Linked DNA regions of Schizosaccharomyces pombe. The protein of the gene in region 1 interacts with the protein of each later gene in a biochemical or structural test. Each region holds a gene or a part of one and is shown in the gene's direction. Other genes may lie near its edges. The genes, in order: hhf1, gcn5, hat1 and rna1.

Evidence for each region.
Region 2: of the proteins of hhf1 (region 1) and gcn5, one has a biochemical effect on the other in vitro, tested with the Schizosaccharomyces pombe proteins (one study listed by BioGRID).
Region 3: of the proteins of hhf1 (region 1) and hat1, one has a biochemical effect on the other in vitro, tested with the Schizosaccharomyces pombe proteins (one study listed by BioGRID).
Region 4: the proteins of hhf1 (region 1) and rna1 form a complex in vitro, tested with the Schizosaccharomyces pombe proteins (one study listed by BioGRID).

Annotation. Positions count from the first base shown.
Region 1 is NC_003424.3:4,698,273-4,702,222, reverse strand, and holds hhf1 (histone H4 h4.1), read left to right. Parts: upstream 1-2,623; 5' UTR 2,624-2,826; coding exon 2,827-3,138; 3' UTR 3,139-3,450; downstream 3,451-3,950. Other genes in the region: hht1 (histone H3 h3.1), read right to left, coding at 1,984-2,394; multifunctional aromatic polypeptide Aro1, read right to left, coding at 3,731-3,950.
Region 2 is NC_003424.3:4,971,463-4,976,667, forward strand, and holds gcn5 (SAGA complex histone acetyltransferase catalytic subunit Gcn5), read left to right. Parts: upstream 1-2,161; 5' UTR 2,162-2,653; coding exon 2,654-4,018; 3' UTR 4,019-4,236; downstream 4,237-5,205. Other genes in the region: OUT family ubiquitin-specific cysteine protease Otu2, read left to right, coding at 1-86, 133-675; SPOM_SPAC1952.04C (uncharacterized protein), read right to left, coding at 964-1,200, 1,390-1,460, 1,555-1,568, 1,782-1,873; SPOM_SPAC1952.06C (uncharacterized protein), read right to left, coding at 4,284-5,205.
Region 3 is NC_003424.3:1,027,671-1,033,006, forward strand, and holds hat1 (histone acetyltransferase Hat1), read left to right. Parts: upstream 1-2,549; 5' UTR 2,550-2,559; coding exon 2,560-2,617; exon of another isoform or gene 2,618-2,667; coding exon 2,668-2,771; exon of another isoform or gene 2,772-2,832; coding exon 2,833-3,051; intron 3,052-3,140; coding exon 3,141-3,256; intron 3,257-3,327; coding exon 3,328-3,691; intron 3,692-3,747; coding exon 3,748-4,023; 3' UTR 4,024-4,271; downstream 4,272-5,336. Other genes in the region: ssd2 (succinate-semialdehyde dehydrogenase), read left to right, coding at 646-2,127; coronin Crn1, read left to right, coding at 4,512-4,545, 4,588-4,640, 4,689-4,916, 4,958-5,046, 5,096-5,336. UniProt on the Schizosaccharomyces pombe protein: Catalytic component of the histone acetylase B (HAT-B) complex. Acetylates 'Lys-12' of histone H4 which is required for telomeric silencing. Has intrinsic substrate specificity that modifies lysine in recognition sequence GXGKXG.
Region 4 is NC_003424.3:5,029,454-5,034,523, forward strand, and holds rna1 (RanGAP Rna1), read left to right. Parts: upstream 1-2,317; 5' UTR 2,318-2,330; coding exon 2,331-3,491; 3' UTR 3,492-3,808; downstream 3,809-5,070. Other genes in the region: alpha-1,2-galactosyltransferase Gmh3, read right to left, coding at 1-545; RNA polymerase I upstream activation factor complex subunit Rrn10, read left to right, coding at 4,025-4,150, 4,203-4,370; krp1 (kexin), read right to left, coding at 4,987-5,070.

The DNA of each region.
Region 1 (3,950 bases):
CTTAACAGAAACTAATGATACAATTATGAATTTGCCCATATAACTGGAAAGCAGGTCTTTAAGTCTATTGATATTAATAATTCAGAAAGCTTTATGACAATAATGAATATGTAATCTAAATTTTTACTAATGATTTAACATTCTTTTTAACATCGAATTCATATCATAAAAAATTTAGAAAATGCTGATTATTCAGAAACAACCAAGCATTTTGCTAATAAAAGACGCTTGTTTCAACCATTTAATGTACTATGGCAATCTACGTCTGTTTAAACGATGAAAATTACCACTGTTTTACAAAATTAAAAGAAAGTCCTTCAATTTATACAAAAAATGAATTCCAAAAACGGTCAAGTTTACAAATATGGTACTGCAGTCATTTGAAAACTAAGCTTGAATTTTATGGAAAATAGCTATTTGTTGTAAAATATGAGAATAGTTATTATAATATTAGAATATTGTTATACTAATGTACCAATTTAACGGATGCATGATGAAGCTTGAAACTACTAGCAGTAAAACATTCAGCCAAAATCAAAAAAATATAGAATATGACTTTGTTAACTGTTTAAACGACTATATACAACGATAATTTATGTAAATCACTTTATAGCATTCTTCATTGTAAACAATACTACCACTCTAATAAAGTGTGCCTTCGAATTATGGGTCGAATATATTTGGCGGCTCGTGAATATTCTTGTTCAGTAATCCCAGTGTGAAAGGTACTAATGAATATACAGAAAACAAACAAAGAAACTTGTAAAAATGAGATAACATAGCACGCAATATTAGTCGGACCCATTATTTAGATGATTGAGTACTTAAAGTAAGTTCTTCTTGAATGAGCATTGATTGACATTGGTCTTTCAAAATTTCAAATTAATCAAAGCCCTCACATTCCGGATACAATACTAAATTGCTTTTAAACTTTCTGTTGCCCGATAAACACATCCCATCCTAGATTCTAAAATTATATACTAACTAAATTAACTCTGTGAGTATATGCTTAATTCTATATTTAAATTAAATGTTGCCAATAAATTACAAATATTTTGCTACTTCACGAAATGACAGGCAATCGCAATTACCAAATATAGCAGTCAGCAGCGCTTCCTTTTTATGTTAAGAATAATCATCCGAATAAATTTCAAGGCTTAATTATGAAGTCGCTAACAAAGGACTACTTTTACTCGTTCAACTATGCTTAAGAAAGCTCTAAATTTTTAAAAATAAGAATTAAAACGACCGTTAATTCTCTTATAAATGCAATTCCAGGTTCTAAAGAGAGGTTACATAACAAGCAGGAAAGAATGACTGATTATTTTTCACGAATTGTCTATTTTTTTTCGGCCGATAAGTTCATTACATGCTCGATTTGTCTTTGCAAAATATCTTTCCGCGATATATCAAAGCTATTAAGCTATTAAACAGTTCGTAAATACCTGAAAACAGTTTGTTCATATAAATATGTGCAATTCTTTATGCGAACCGCCATTAAACGATAAAGAATGCTGCGATAACAACCAAATCTCAATACCAAAAGTGTAAAGATTTTTAAAAAAAGCATTGTCTTCGTAGTTCTGTATTCTTTTATAAAACAAAAGACATAAATTTAACAGATACTTGAAATAAAAGAAATCATGTTTCAAATAAAGGTACTTGTTGTCATTAGTTTTCATTAATGTACATAATGTGTTATCTAAACTTGTCACTCTCAAGGCTGAATTCATTCGCATGAATTAACGACAAGTTTCTATAATTGAAGATAAATTCAAACAACCAAATTAACACATATCCGTTCCCATCAAAGTGAACGTTCATCTAGCTCTTGGTAATGTAGAACAAAAACAACAATTATTCACGAAGCCTGCTTTTCACTTATTGGTAGCAACATATCAAAGGGTGACAGTATAATACAGGCAAGCAGTCAATCAAAATTAATTTAGTCTCAATTACAATTGCCAAAAGTCCTGGAGAAAATTATGAGCGTTCGCCACGGAGACGACGAGCCAACTGCATATCCTTGGGTTGAATCGTAACACGTTTTCCGTGAATAGCACACAAGTTAGTGTCCTCAAATAGAGAGACAAGGTAGGCCTCAACAGCTTCTTGGAGAGCACCAATGGCAGAAGATTGGAAACGCAAGTCAGTCTTGAAATCTTGGGCGATTTCACGGACCAAACGTTGGAAAGGTAGCTTACGAATTAAAAGTTCAGTAGACTTTTGATAACGACGAATCTCACGAAGAGCGACAGTACCAGGACGATAACGATGAGGCTTCTTAACACCTCCGGTAGCGGGAGCGGCCTTACGAGCGGCCTTAGAGGCCAATTGCTTACGGGGTGCCTTACCACCGGTAGACTTACGAGCTGTTTGTTTAGTACGAGCCATTATATCAAGCTAGTAGAATGAATATCAAATAAAAAGACAATCGAGAAAAAAATAGCTGTTGTGCTACTTTTGCCAATTGTTGATCTTTAGAATTAATGGAAACGCAAGCGTACTGCAGATATTTGCTATATATATGTTTTGAATCCACCCGATCTCATCAAAAGCAGGGTTAGGGTTTTGATGCAGATTCAAAACAAATAGACAGCGTCGCCCCAACTTCCCTCTCTTCAGACAATCATTTCTTTTAATTGTTTTTGAATACGGATAAAATCCTTTGTCAATTTGCATTGACTTTTATCCTACCGTTAACATCTGTTGACATCTATAAATTCATTGTTCCTTTGTTAGTCAACGGAAAACCCCTTTATCTTTATTATACTTAAAGAATTACGCGTTTTTTTGCGTAGATTTTAATTTTTTCTACTTCTTAACATGTCTGGTCGTGGTAAAGGTGGTAAAGGTTTGGGAAAAGGTGGTGCTAAGCGTCACCGTAAAATTCTTCGTGACAACATTCAAGGTATTACTAAGCCTGCTATCCGTCGTCTTGCTCGTCGTGGTGGTGTGAAGCGTATTTCCGCTTTGGTTTATGAAGAGACTCGTGCTGTTCTCAAGCTCTTCTTAGAAAATGTTATTCGCGATGCCGTCACCTATACTGAGCATGCCAAGCGTAAGACTGTCACTTCTTTGGACGTTGTCTATTCTTTGAAGCGTCAAGGCCGTACCATTTATGGTTTCGGTGGTTAAACTCCTATTACATTGATTTTTTTCTCCTTGTTTGTATATCACTTTATTATTTACCACTTAATTCCTTTTTTACCCCTGTCTGCTATAAATGTTGTGCAATTGTTCGTGAAATTTGAATTATCTATCAATATAATTTTTGTGGATTATTACCTCTTTCTGCGACTTTCCCTTTTTCAGCAGTCTTATAAGTTCTGTTTTTAATTGGATTTGTTCTGCATATGTTTTTATGACTAGTTTCTTTTGTAGGTGATATTATTTTTTGCAAACAATGTCTTTGAATGTCACACTTTAATAAACTTAATTATCACGTTTCGCAAAATACTTCATTTTGTAGTCGAAAGTAGATACAAGTTGGTATGCAAAATGGTACAGTAATGTTTCCACTTCTACAAGATTATTTTTGTTGTTGTAAATTTACAGCGTTCATACATTTTGCGACTGCTTACTGATCATTGACATACCAAGCGTCAATTGGCTTCCTGATTCTACTAGCTGAAGTGCTAAAAAAAATTACTTCCTGTATTTTTATTCTACATTTGTATCAAAATAGATTTCAAAATACCTAACTAAATCGAAAATTTGAATTGTTGACTTACTCAATAACCTTTTGATAAACAGCATCAAATGGTGCTGTCATTCCAGTCCACAAATGAAAAGACGCAAGACCTTGACGAACTAAAGCTTCCAATCCGTTGCAACATTTCCATTCCAAGTCAGATGCAACAGCCATTAGAGGTGTATGCAAGGGCTTGTAAGCCATGTCAAGGAATACTCCACCATCGGCTTTGTTAGCAAGCAAAGCTTTAATAACA
Region 2 (5,205 bases), 270 kb from region 1:
AATCATCAGTTCAGTCCTCATTGAATACTAAAGAAAATACACCGCAACAGCCTAAAAAGTCTAGGAATAGACAAAAAGAGCGACTTGTAAGTGCTTAACTTTTGACGAATTATCACTAACAAAGTTAATTAGGAACGACGTAAAGCAGAGATGAAAAAAATGTCTGAGCAGGCAGAGCTAGAGTCAGAAAAAATGGCTGATCTCAAAAATGAAGAGAAAAAAAAGTTTTCAAAAATCCTTGAGGAAGCTGGACTTGTTGCAGTCGATATACCAGCGGATGGAAATTGTTTATTTGCTTCCATTTCACATCAGTTAAATTATCATCATAATGTTAAACTAAATAGCCAAGCTCTTCGTAATAAATCCGCTGATTATGTATTAAAGCACTGCGAACAGTTTGAAGGCTTTTTGCTAGACGAAGAATCTGGAGAAGTTTTGCCAGTATCCGATTATTGTAACGAAATTCGAAACAATAGCAAATGGGGAAGTGATATTGAAATACAGGCATTAGCAAACTCTCTTGAGGTTCCTGTTCATGTCTACAACACAGAAGGTCCAGTTTTAAAGTTTAACCCCTCAACGGTCAAGTTCGAAAAACCGTTGTGTATAGCATATTACCAGCATTTGTTTGGGCTTGGCGCTCACTATAATAGTTTATTATATCGGGACAATTAAAAAGATCTAATGAGATGCTTTAGATAGGTTTTTATCCTTTGGTTTATTAGCTTCCTTCCTCGCCGGAAACCATTTAAAAAGGCTGTGCCTTACGAGTTAGATTATATGAATAATATTTATGAATTAAAACTCTTCTGTATTCTATTAATCAAAAAAAAAAATTAGCCATTATTATCTATCATATCCAGTCATATAGTATGCACAATAAATATTACCAAACATGCTTAGAAAGCTTCATCAGGGAAGCATTAGAAACGGTAGAACAATAAATAGAATTAAGGTAGAACATTACTTGTAGCTGTAAGGGGGTGGTGCCTCATCACTTTTTCTTGGAGGCGGTATATGTGGTTGAGGACGAACGTTAGGAATATCGGTTTGTTGCGAACTTGAGCCAGGAAAAAATGCATGCTGTTGAGCACTCGCCTCAGGTCTTTCGGGAGTAGGAAGATCTTCACGCCTGCGCCTTTGATCAATCATGGCCGAATCTACTGGTTCATACCACCCACAATGAGAACAACGAAGTACCTGCTCTGAGTTAGCAAGTGAGTGCTTATTAGTTGGACAGCAAAATAATCCCAACTTTCCCTGGAAAGCATGTAACATTGAAGATTGAAGAATGGCTTAGAAAATAACAAACAAGGTCTGTCAGGTTTCCAAACAATGATAAGTAGAAAGGGTCAACTACATAACATATGCTTTCTTGAATTCCCTTACCTTACTCGTATAAACCGGGAGAACAGGCAAAACGATGAGTGCTAAAGATTTAACCAAACGATATACCCGAACTAAAAACCAAAGTTTTACGTTAACATTAATAAAACAACCCAAAGAAAGAGCAATTGCCTTCATGCAACTACACCACTTATATGTGTCTCATACCAGTTTTATTTTGGCTAAAAAGAAAGTATTAGCAAAAAGTGCTGATGAAAAGAATAGAAGGAAAACAAGAAGACTGCTAGAAACTATTTTTAAATGACAAATTTTAATAAAAAACAAGTGCGTAATTTCTGAAAACAAAATGTTTCTACAATTGTTCCATTTCCACTTCGCCATTTAAACAATGTACTCAATCCACTTGTTTTAACACTAATTCATTGATTTCATACCATACAGGACATGTCAGTAAGACGTGCTTATATTTGCTATTGACTTTCCATATGTCTTGAACATTCAGCGGTATCGGCAAGAAGAGGAACATCTCACGTTAAGAGTCTTAAAATCTTCTTTAAAAAAAAAGAAAAGAAGTTGGATATTATAATGAATAATTCGAGTTAAATCCAAAATATTCGTTTTAGCAGAGTCACTCCATTAGTACGTAGACTAAGCCTCACAGTTAGTGTAATATCACAGAAAATATTTTCGTTAGCTTTATCGCTAAATACATAAAAGAATATCATCACAAAAAGAGGTATTGCTAACGAACTACGGTGCGTCTCTATATTTAGAAGCAACACCAATAACTTCAAAAAATGAAAGCAGAAAATTCGTAGAGAAGAAATTTTCTAATCTTGCATCCCAAGTCAAATCATGTATTTGTGTCTTTAATTAGTAAATATTAGGATAATCGTTGATTTGAAGTATTAAAAAATTGATTGTATTTTGGAGCGCAAATCTGAGATTTTTTTTATAGATTAAAAAATTCTCCTTGATACGGTCATTTTCGGTTGACTTGTGTTCAAACTCTTTCTATAAAAAGAGGTTCTTTTTCTAAGAGAATCCCTGCCGAGTTTCCTTAAGTTTTAGAAAGGTAAAGGGCTGGTCGACGTCTTTTCACATTGTTGGTGCCAAAAACAAAATTTTCGAGACAAATAACTGGGTTCGTGGTGTATATTTTAACAAATTATCGTTTATTTTAATTTTCTGTATTTCGTTATTATATACCGTTTTTTCGTGCTCGTTTCATCTTGTATCGTTCTTGACAATTTCTGTATCTTCACTTTTTGGATTTATTTGTTTGGATGCGTGGCATAGAATAATCATGTCGAATTCGTTAAATGATCAAACACGACCACCCGATTCAAGTGTTGTAGACAGTACATCTTCCAACTTTCCAAATGCGTCAAACGATAGTGTACATGATAAACCGGTAAAACAGGACGAACAATCCAATCCAAATGTTCGCGAAGCAATTGCTAATTCCGATGGACAAGAATCTTTAGCTGTAAAGGAAAACAAGGATACGGAAAGCTCATCCTCTCATTTCGTACCTAACGGAGTTTCAAATTCTAAAAAGAGAAAGCTCGTGGCTACAGATTTAGATGTTGATTTTGATATTAGTAGTGTACGAGTTACTGAAAAGCCATCTGTATTAGAAGAAAAAAGCGGCGTTATTCAATTTCGTGTTGTTTCTAACGACGACACCGCCGACAGTATGATCATGTTGACTGGTTTAAAAAACATATTTATGAAACAACTTCCTAAAATGCCAAAAGAATACATTACGCGGCTAATTTATGATCGAAACCATCTTTCAATGACCATTGTCAAAGATAATTTACATGTAGTGGGCGGTATTACTTATCGTCCATTTGAACAACGAGGATTTGCCGAAATTGTATTTTGTGCGATTGCTTCCAATGAACAGGTTCGTGGTTATGGTTCTCATTTAATGAATCATTTAAAGGATTATGTCCGTGGAACTACTACAATTCAGCACTTCTTGACATATGCAGATAACTATGCAATCGGGTATTTTAAAAAACAAGGATTTACTAAGGAAATTACTCTTGACAAGTCTATATGGGTTGGCTATATTAAGGATTACGAAGGTGGCACACTTATGCAATGCACCATGATTCCAAAAATAAAGTATTTAGAAGCTAATCTGATTTTGGCTATTCAGAAAGCTGCTGTTGTTTCCAAAATTAACAGGATCACTCGGTCGAACGTTGTTTATCCTGGTTTAGACGTATTCAAAGATGGTCCAGCTCATATAGAGCCGTCTCAAGTTCCTGGGTTGATGGAAGTTGGATGGTGCAAGGAAATGGAAGAGCTCTCCAAAAAGCCCAGACCTAAACCTTTTTTTGCCGTTTTGGAAATGCTTTTTACAGAAATGCAAAATCATCCGTCTTCCTGGCCCTTTATGCAACCGGTTAGTAAAGAGGATGTACCCGATTATTACGAAGTTATTGAACACCCCATGGACCTTTCGACTATGGAATTTCGGTTGCGTAACAACCAGTATGAGTCTGTAGAGGAATTTATTCGGGATGCAAAATATATATTTGATAATTGCCGTTCTTACAATGACTCCAACACGACTTACTATAAAAATGCCGATAGATTGGAAAAGTTTTTCCAGAAAAAACTTCGTGAAACTGAGTATTCACACTTAGCCGATTAATCATTTACATTTATTATCATCGAAACGTCTATTCCGAAGTTTTATTGATTATAACATATACATTTCACCTTTTAATTTTTTACACGAATATCTTTTGTGCCTTCCAAATATGCTGGCATATCAAGAACTGCTAGTGTTTAATTTTTAGTTTTTTTGTTTAAAAATATATATAATTCTATAATACCAAACACTCTTTATGTTCCATAATAACAAATGTACAACTCATTAAATTGAAAATATGTTATCAGAACAAGTCATGATTTTATTACACAGATGCTTGCATAGATCCAAGTAAAACAGTAACCATAGGTTTTTCGTCAATTCTGTAGTAAGAGTCGTTGGCCTCCACCTCTTCGGACTCCACCGTCGGTTCTTCAAGGTTTTCATGATAATTTTTTAGAGCATCAGTCAACTCATCAATTGGAATGGATGCTTCGGAAAACAGCATCTTAATTTTTTTCAATGTCACTGTATTTTCAACGCATAACCACGAAAGGATAAGAACTGTAGATTGGAAAGGAAACAGTCCATGATCAATTTGTTGGAGAAACCATTTGGTACTCTTTTCCTCCGAATCAGGACTAAAATCAAGTTTTCTGCTTTGGTCAATACCTTTGAGTTGGATTCTCAAGCGATCGTAAATTTTGAAAAGGCGTTTCATTTTTTCAAAGTCATTTTCAATGAATTTCCGTAAAAAGCGCACCCTTTCTACGGTGTCAGCAGGTAAAGATCGAAATAAAGATGCCAGAATAGCTAATATATGTTCCAGAGTATCGGCTGCAGATATTTTCATAAACGCAGCAAAAATATATTTCAAACCGCCTGCTTCTACAAATCGAATACAATAAGGAGTGGAAAGAGGCCCAAATAAAAGATAGTCCAAAACTTTGATTGTAGAATAACGGCTTTTTCCTTTATGTTTCATATTTAGTATGCATAATTCAATACCTTCCTCTTTTAGAAAAAGGGATTTTCCTTTCGTTTCTTGAACCAGACTACATAAGCAATCAAACACGTTTTCCATCATTTCTTCTTCTGATCCTTGGGTTGGATCACGAAGCCTATAAGGACTGATCCGGCGCAACAAAAGATCAATCCCATTCAAGTTGCACACTTTCAATTTAGCTTCTTTTGAATTAGCGAGAATGATAGCTAAAATTTCAACAGCGTACTGCAAATTAGTTGAT
Region 3 (5,336 bases), 3.7 Mb from region 1:
AACCGCATTAATACAAAATACATTTTTTAATATGAAAAGCGAAGCGATTTTACCCACTGTTCTTTTCATACTCATTCACAGTAGCTGTAGCTTATATTACTGCCATTCAGTATAGTAAAGTCGGTACATATTCACATATGGTGGCACTCAATTATATGATGTAAAAAATGCAATTCCACCAAGTTCGCTATATACATCATTGAAGAAGACGGGAGCCGTAAGCTAACAAACCAGACACTATGATTTATAAGTTAGTCTGCCGATATTTACGCAAATTCAATACGCCTTTCTTTTTTTCCAGGGGAAATGTTTGCATACACCAAGAACATGATGTTGAGACGTAAATCTAGTACGGAAAACCAAGATGCATACGTTATGGTTTGATCATTAAATGTCTTGTTGAAAAATTATAAATATGCATCGTTTCTCTCGATGTTTACACTACATTAAAAAAAAGAAATCTGCAGCTTAATTTGAAAACACTAAAAAAACCTGCATTCTTCTTTTTTCCACGAAAGATCTGTTGCTGCTTACGCTATTATTTGTTATTATTATAAATAATAATAACATTTCTATCGATAACTTCGTTTCATATAGTTTTTAACATTTACTCCTTCCCACTTTTTTGTATAATACTCTTCAAAAATGGCCCCTCAATTCAAACGCCCTGAGCTCTTTGGCTTTGATAAGTCTCATGCTCAATCTTTTGTTCAAGGAAAATGGATTTCTTCTCCTAACAACAAAACTTTTGAGGTTGATAACCCAGCTACTGGTGAAATAATCGGTAAAGTGGCCGATGTCTCAGTAGAGGAAACAAAAAAAGCCATCAGTGCCGCTAACGAGGCCTTCAAAACTTATAAAAATTTTACTCATGTCCAACGTAGTCAGTTATTGGAACGCTGGGCAGAGCTTATTATGGAGAACAAAGACGACTTGGTCAAGATGCTTACCTTAGAAAACGGCAAGCCTTTGAGCCAAGCTGAGATGGAGGTCACCACATGTAGCGGATATCTTAAATGGTATGCTGCTGAAGCCGTTCGTACCTTTGGCGATGTAGCTCCTTCCAGCTTACAAAGTCAAAACTTTCTCATCTCCATCAAACAGCCAGTTGGTGTCAGTGCCTTGATTACTCCTTGGAACTTCCCCGCCGCCATGATTGCTCGTAAAGGTGGTGCCGCTTTGGCTGCTGGTTGTACCGCTATTTTCTTGCCTGCTTTCCGCACTCCCTACGTTTGCTTAGGTTTAGTCAGGTTGGCGCAAGAGGCCGGTTTCCCTGACGGTGTCTTAAATGTGATCACTTCTTCTGATGCATCTGCTCATGGTAAAGAACTGACTACCAACCCTATCGTTCGTAAGGTTTCCTTCACTGGTAGTACTAATGTCGGTAAAATTCTTATGGGACAAAGTGCCAGCACAATCAAGAAGGTTTCAATGGAGTTAGGAGGTAATGCCCCTTTCATTGTATTCCCTGACTTCCCCATTGATCAGGCTGTCGAATCTTTCTGCACTATCAAGTTTAACTCTTGTGGTCAAGTTTGTGTCTGCCCTAACAGAGTTTACGTTCACAAGAATGTTTACGACGAATTCGTCAGCAAGCTTACCGAAAAAGTCAAGACCATTAAAGTAGGAGATGGATTTGACTCTTCTTCTGCTGTTGGCCCTTTGATTTCTCAAGATGGATGCAAAAAGGTCAGCAAGCACATTGAAGATGCTGTTTCAAAGGGTGCCAAAATCACTGTTGGTGGAAAGGAGATTTCCTCAAGCAAAGGTTATTTTTTTGAACCAACCGTGCTCTCCGGTGTAACTCAAGACATGTTGGTTGCTAGCGAGGAAACATTCGGCCCACTCGCCTCTGTCTTCAAGTTCGACGACACCGAAGAGGTGATCGAATGGGCTAACGACAGTGATGTTGGCTTGGCCGGTTACGTCTTTACCAATAACTTGTCCACAATGATCCACGTTGCCAAAGAACTAGAGGTGGGTCTTGTAGGTGCCAATATCGAAATGGTTGACGAACCATTTATTTCCTTTGGCGGCATCAAACAGAGCGGTTTTGGCAAGGAAGCCGGTCGTTTGGGCGTTCAAGAATTTATGGTGGTTAAGGAAATCAATCTCAAGACTCTTTAAGGATTTTCGCTTTAGAAAGCTGCATATTATTGAACAAGCAATGATGTCCTCTTTTGGTTAATGACTAAAAAATCCTGATGTTATGACTGTTTTACATGTTTGCGATACAAATCGTATTTTAGTTTAATGATATCAAAAAAATTTAATACCTGAACATCGTGGGTCATCGATGAAGAATGGATTGTTGTGTCAGAAAATCTATACTTGTAGTTATTGTTCTGAGCAATCTGAAAAGTTATAAAGAATTGTAGGTTCTAAAATTGGCAATACTGGAGCTAGAAATCTATATAATAGTAAATATTTTTTAATAATAACAGGTGTAGCACGTGAAATTTTGCGTCGCCTTGTAGTTTGTTACTTCCAACTAGACACATGTATTTTTTGTTGTTTGACTTGAAATAGGGTCAGGTATTCAATTTTCCGTATGCAGTGATGAGTGCTGTTGATGAATGGGTACATAATGCCAATGAATGCATAGAAATTGTACAAGGTATGCTATGTTAAATTATAATGTTTTTACCTTGTGTTAACACCTGTCAGTAAACGAAAAGCATGAAAAAGATTGTCAATACCATCCTAGCAATACATATGCAATATTTGGAGATGCTGAGGTTATTTATGGATATAAAGATCTAAATGTCACTGTAAGATTAAATCAGCAAGTTTTAGTCATGAAATTTGATTGCAAATAGTAACAGTTATTAGATAACCTATGAATGCCCATTGATGGTCCCAAAACTGGAAATCTCATATTCAGAGCGCCTAGCACCAGATTCAGGAGTGGAACCAACTGATATTGAAGGAACATTAAACACTTATCTAAAAGATCGTTCCATTAAGGTTGAAGGAAACTCATTTGACGTTCATTCGGCAAATAGTATTCATAACTATTCCTTTAATGGAAAAACATTCAAGATTTTACAAGTATGTTCGATTACCTTTCAATTGGAGAAGTATTCAATTATTGAATATCCCTATATGTTCTTTGGCTAATAATCGTAATGTATTAATAGGCAACGGTTCTTGAAGCTAGTGAGATTATGCAGCATTTGCAAATATTTTCCTTATTTTTTATTGAAGGGGGCTCTTTTATTGACCTTAATGATCCAAGATGGATGGTATATTTACTGTAAGTTTGTTATTTTCTACGCGTCTACTTTCCTTTTACCTTTTTATCGAGGTTTTATTAACAAAAATAAGTTACGAGACTACTGAAGATGATTATTGCTTACGTGGTTATTGTACTGTATACAAATATTATAAATGGGACAAATTAATTCACGATGGTATTCGAGCTCGTATCTCACAATTCGTGATTTTACCCCCTTTTCAACATCAAGGACACGGTTCGCAATTGTACAATGCTATTGTTAGTACCTTTTTGAAAAATCCTAAAATTTTAGACTTCACAGTTGAGGATGCATCGGAAGCGTTTGATAGCCTTAGAGACCATTGCGACTATAAAAGATTATTATCAATGGGAATATTTTCAGAACCTGACTTTCATCCCTCTCTTTCTAGGCAGTGGATAAACTCGAAAATAGCTGAAACAAAGTTAACCCAGGTTCGTAATTTGCTAAATTTACCATGCAATGCAACTTACTAATTGTCTTTTTTTAGCGTCAATTCTCACGCTGTTGTGAATTAGCATTTACAACGAAACTAAAAAAGCTTTCATTATTGGAGCGGAAATCTGTTAGACTAGGAATAAAGGAAAGGATTTTTCGTCAAAATCTTGATGTGTTGCTACAGTTGGATAAGTCCGAACGTATTGAAAAAATTCATAACGCCTATGAAAATCAGTTTGATGAGTATAAACAGATTGTCAAAAAGCTACCCAAGCTTAAGGAAGATTCGCCTCGAAAACGCCAAAAACTTGCTCAATCTTCTTCCTAAATGAAAACACTTTTAGAGATCTGAAATACTTTGAGAATATTGAAGGCATATTAGCATAAAAAGTTATGAGAATCGACTAAATTACACTATTGGACGCAATTACTTTTTATATAATTTGCTTTTGAAAGCTTTCGCTTGAAATGATTAAAGACATTTGAAACAGTGATCATTTTAATAATATAAATTTTGTATATATTTTGCAAATTTAGTGTGATATCTAGTTTAATAAAATCTATAAAGGCACCTTATAAAAATTCAAACAATTCCTCATAATGAACTGCTTTTTCCAAAATTTAAATATTTTAATATCTACTATCAATAATATTGGTTATTTTCAACGACCAGTACAACTTTAGGTGCTTGTCATTCTCATCCGTCCTCCTTCCTATTCCGATCCCGACTTTGTTCATTACCTGACACCCCGGATAAAGTTAGCTCAATTAGCAAATTCTCATTCGATCTTATAAAGGAATTATTCTTTTTCAAAAATGAGTGGAAGATTTGTGAGAGCTAGTAAATATAGTACGCATGCTTTTTGAGTAAATAATTATTAACTGACGTTAGGACATATCTTTGGACAAACCTGCAAAAAAGAACTTTGCTACGACAACATAAAGGTTGGTCGATACTTTAATGGTTTGAAATTTACTAATTGTCTTCAATAGCTTAGCAATAATGCATGGGATTCTAACCTATTGAGTGTGAACCCCTTTTACCTCAGTGTTAATTGGAATGCGGGAGCTGGAGGTGCATTGGCAGTTATCCCTTTAAACGAAAGAGGAAAGCTTCCCGATCAAGTTAATTTGTTTCGGGGCCATACTGCGGCTGTTTTAGATACTGATTGGAATCCCTTCCATGATCAAGTATTAGCATCCGGCGGTGATGATTCTAAGGTATCCTGCTATTTGACTTTATTTATGTATTAACGAATTAGATTATGATATGGAAAGTACCAGAAGATTATACTGTTATGGAGCCTTATGAAGATGTTCATCCAATTGCTGAATTAAAGGGCCATAGCCGGTATGTCGTACATTGCATTAGGGTTTTAGTTACTGACTTTTTTGTATAGTAAAGTTGGTCTTGTTCAATATCATCCCACTGCAGCGAATGTTTTGGCATCTTCTAGTGCAGACAATACTATCAAGTTGTGGGATTGTGAGAAGGGTGTAGCCCATGTATCTCTGAAAATGGATGTAATGTGCCAGTCTATGTCGTTCAACGCTGATGGTACCAGACTTGTAACAACTTCTCGAGATAAGAAAGTTCGCGTCTGGGACCCTCGTACTGATAAACCAGTCTCCGTTGGAAAT
Region 4 (5,070 bases), 330 kb from region 1:
GGTGACAAAATATGTTCTTGAATAGAGAGTTCTGTGTTCAAAATTAACGCATCTTGGTCCAACCACCAAATCCATTTCGCATGAGGATGCTTATTCATTGTTTGTATAATAGCGGGCATTTTGGCCCACACTGGAGGAATGTTCATTTGGCTTACATTAACATATTCAAAGCCATAGTTGTGATGCTTTGCGTAGTTAATTCGGTTTTCTATGCATTGATTAAATGTTTCAGGTGCCATATTGCCACTTGAACGTCCATCACTCGCTAAGAGGATTACTATTTCATGGGATTTGGGCTCTTGAGGATCATCCTCGTTAATTGTCGCTTGATGATACGTCGTGCTAAGGCCTTGCATATCTTCATCCAGAGGTACTAAGTAGTCGTATTCTTGTACACTTGGTTTGGAAAATACATCTTGTAAACGTTCTAAAGCAGGTGAAGCAGAAAAAGAGTTTCCAAATTGGAAGTAAATGAGAAAAGAGCTAATCCCAATGATTAACAACACGAATATAACACGAGATAACTTCCACTGTAGGACTGCCATTTTAAAGATTAGCAGATGTTAAATGCAAATTAATAAAAAAATAAAAAATAAAATTTAGTCTTTTAGAGACAAGAGAAACTCTTTTTCAAGTTTCACAAATATAAACTGAGATTGGATAAAAGCAAAACAATAAGATACCAAGAATGGATCAGAAATTATGAATGAAATGGGAAACTTTCTACTCTTTCTCGGTAGAAAATTAGAAAGCCGTTTTAAAAATTAAAATGAGATTTGTGATATTCCAAAGAATACTACGTTTGAAACACGAATCTTCGCCCGTTGACTCAAGAAACGAGAGAAAACAGTAAAAAGAAATTGAAAATATAATGTAAATTATAATAAAAAAATATGAATGAATTAGATTCTTTAAAAAATGATTAACCAGATGGACCTGGAATTAAAGGCAGTGTGTAGTGGAAGGATTGAAATTACCGCATCATGGAGTCAATCATCATAAATTTACGGTTTCCTCTACTTATCGTATCCTATTTATAATAAAAGAAGAAAAAGAAGAAAAATCTGTATGGTAATGATTTATGTTCAAAATAATGAGTTGTTCCTTTAAAATCACGTTTCCAAACTTTTAATGACATGATTCACAGTACTTAAACATTTTAACCAGTTTTATACGTTGGGACAAATAACAGGAATGGCTTAATTCAGCAATACGTCTAAATCAATGTCATGATTGAATGGGAAAATAATCAAACGATTCAAATTGTTGAAACAGGTAAAGCAGATCAAGTACTGGAATGCGGACTGAAGTCCAATTCGAGAATGGTTACAACTATGAAATGAGAATTAATTTACTGAAAAGAATACAGTATCAATGGAATAGCTTTCCTGATAATGTGAAAGCTGTTTAAAGAGTATTCTATGTGTCTAGAGTGCAGACTCGTGGATTTTCACAGTAATGAATAAGAAATGTTAAACTAAAAATATCAATTGTTGTTATTATCTTGATTTTTCATATATCTGTTAAACTCCCGCTTTCCGATTTTCTTTTTGGGTCAACTCATAAATGTATATGTGTGAGTAACTGAAATGATCACGAAACAAGCGGAAAGCTGAAAGATAGGGATACTCATTTCAGATCTTTTTGATTCTTCATTTTTTGGAAGTCACCAAGCTCTTTTGGTCAATATTCCTTCGTTCAACTTCGTATTCTTATAAATGGACTAGCGATGAGGCAAAAATCTAGCAATGTTAATTGCTAGAAATGCAATTAAGTTAAAGCAAACTTAAGCTAAGAATTCAGGACTAAGGTCACTCAAAAAGGTTCTTCATAAGATCCTCTATACTTAGTCAAAAAAACAAACTATATGCAACAGGATTGTCACAGCTATTTTTTCAAAAATGAATGATAGATAAATGTCAAAAAAGCTCAATCATCCTATTTACAAAAGTTTTATACATGTCTTTCAGGAACGTATCCGAGCACTAATGCACCACTCCGACATTGAGTATCTTTCGGTTTGCGCTAATCTGATCTAATAATTTAAATGACTTCTAATAGCATAGAATCGTCTTAAAATTAAACTCATTAGCGAGAGATCGCATTTGAGTTTGTAAATAAAAACAGGTTGAGTAAAGGGGGTATCCGTCAAAAGAGGATAAATTTCGTTCTTCTTCTACTTTGAATATTATTTTAGTTTCTTTTTTAAAAGCCATGAATTCAAGTGACTGAAGCATCTATCCTCGATCAAATTTAACATACACAGCTAGTTCACACAATCTTTCCTCACCACCATACCTGCTATATTTTTTCTTTCAACAACCAACTCCATGTCGCGTTTTTCAATAGAAGGGAAGTCTTTGAAATTAGATGCAATTACAACTGAAGACGAGAAGTCTGTATTTGCTGTTCTGTTAGAAGATGATTCTGTAAAGGAAATTGTATTGTCTGGTAACACAATTGGAACCGAAGCTGCTAGATGGTTGTCAGAGAATATTGCCTCAAAAAAAGATTTAGAAATTGCAGAGTTTAGTGATATCTTTACTGGACGTGTCAAAGATGAAATTCCTGAGGCTTTACGTCTGTTGCTACAAGCTTTACTCAAGTGCCCAAAACTACATACTGTAAGATTGAGCGATAATGCCTTTGGCCCTACTGCACAGGAGCCCTTGATTGACTTTCTTTCAAAACACACACCTTTGGAGCATCTTTACCTACACAATAATGGACTCGGTCCTCAAGCTGGCGCAAAAATTGCTCGTGCCTTGCAAGAGCTGGCGGTCAACAAGAAAGCTAAAAATGCACCTCCCTTGCGTTCCATTATTTGTGGAAGAAATCGTTTAGAAAATGGGAGTATGAAAGAATGGGCTAAAACTTTCCAGAGCCACCGTTTGCTACATACAGTGAAAATGGTGCAAAATGGTATCCGTCCCGAAGGTATTGAACACTTATTGCTTGAAGGATTAGCATATTGCCAAGAGCTAAAGGTACTCGATCTTCAAGATAACACATTTACGCACTTGGGCTCTAGCGCTCTCGCTATCGCGTTGAAAAGCTGGCCCAACCTTCGAGAACTAGGCCTCAACGATTGTCTCTTATCTGCTCGCGGTGCTGCCGCAGTTGTAGATGCTTTTTCTAAATTAGAAAATATTGGGCTTCAAACGTTACGCTTACAGTATAACGAGATAGAGCTGGATGCTGTCCGGACCCTAAAAACTGTGATTGATGAGAAAATGCCGGATCTTTTATTCCTTGAATTAAATGGAAACAGATTTTCGGAAGAAGACGATGTTGTTGATGAAATACGTGAAGTCTTTAGCACCCGTGGTCGTGGTGAACTAGATGAGCTTGATGATATGGAGGAACTTACCGACGAGGAGGAGGAGGATGAAGAAGAAGAAGCTGAGTCTCAAAGCCCTGAGCCGGAGACTTCTGAAGAAGAAAAAGAAGACAAAGAACTTGCTGATGAGCTATCAAAAGCTCATATTTAGAGCAACTACTTTCCCTCTCGAACCCTGCTCCGCTGTTTCCGAAATTTTTTAACATATTTCTATTGTTCATGCTAGGCGGTAATGAACGATTGTGGTCAACGGATGGTCTATATCGACCATTCGATTTCCTTCTGCATTTTTATCAACATTCTGTCTTTTTACGCGGCAGGACCGATAAATAGTATTAGATTAAATCTGTATATGACAGAAAAAAAATTCCCCTTTCAAAAATGGCGAAAAGGTTCTTTACGTTTTATTAATAACCCACTTTAATTAAGTATTGGGTCAATATAATATGGTTTGGATTGTATCTGTGTAAAGTTGTTTTGTTGTTATGTCGTAAAGCCTGAACTATTTTTTCAGTATGTCTGTAAACCTCGAGATAAATTTTCTGTAAGTCGCAGTTAACTTTTAAGAATGTGGGGATTCCATTACTTGAGCTTGGTGTTTCCAAATATGATTGTACTACTGCAAGGACGAATTAGAAGCTTCACCTAGCATAGTACATACTCTACGTCCAACGCCATCTATTAATGTCAAATCCACCAACTCGGCCAACTTTGTATAATTTGGTGAATGCTGATGGTGAATTGTCTTACAGAGCTCGTGATTTAGTACAGGATTTTTCTGTTCCAATTCCACATGAACTGCCGGATCCTGTAAGTTCACAGCTTCTGCCAATACTTGTTTAACTAATCTTTTTATGTTTAGGATTTAGTTCATAGCATCCAGGATTTTGCAACAGAATACATGCTTGCGACAGGGAAAAAGTCATTCGAGTGTTTGGATGAAAGTGCTTTATTGGGGTTGGGATATTTGGTGACTGAATGGATGGATGCTATGGTTACTGATTGTTTGGAAGAATTTGAAGAAAGATGAATTATCCTTGTACATTTTACTTTTCATTCGTTTGTTTCGAGATGACTCCGTTACATTTGTATGACTAACTTTGATGATTTTTCTATATGGCGTAAAGTTGTTAAACAGCTATGAATGCGTATTTGTGTATTGAAATTTTTATCTTTTGATAATTGTTTAAAATCAACATTACAGATGTAATTACATTGCTTGACATGTATGCAGGCTGCTGAAAAGCGAGAAGCAACGATGCTGTTAAGATTTTAACAAGCTTTGCGATACATTAGCAAACATATTAGGACTTCAACTATTTTTTTTTTGCAAAGCCTTTACTATTAAATCCGAATACTGTTACCAGTGAATCGTAAAGACAATCACTTCAACTACCCAAAGCATAATCCAATATACATTTTATTACTTGGTATTTATACACGCTATCTAATGATTACACTTCAAAGGGGTCGAATTAAATACGTAGTCCATGCGTATTTATTAAAATGCAAAATTAAGAAATGCCAATTAGGTTGTTTCATATCGATGAATGAAACGAATGACAAGTGACATCTAAGAAGAGATCATACTTTAAAAAGTAGTCCATATTATTTTAAACAGAAGTGAAAAAACGAGTGTTAACTTTTCAAGCAATTTCTTGCTGAGACAATGGTGGGGGTGCTTTAGCTTTCCAAAATGCGGAAATCCATGTCCATATGACAGCAACGAA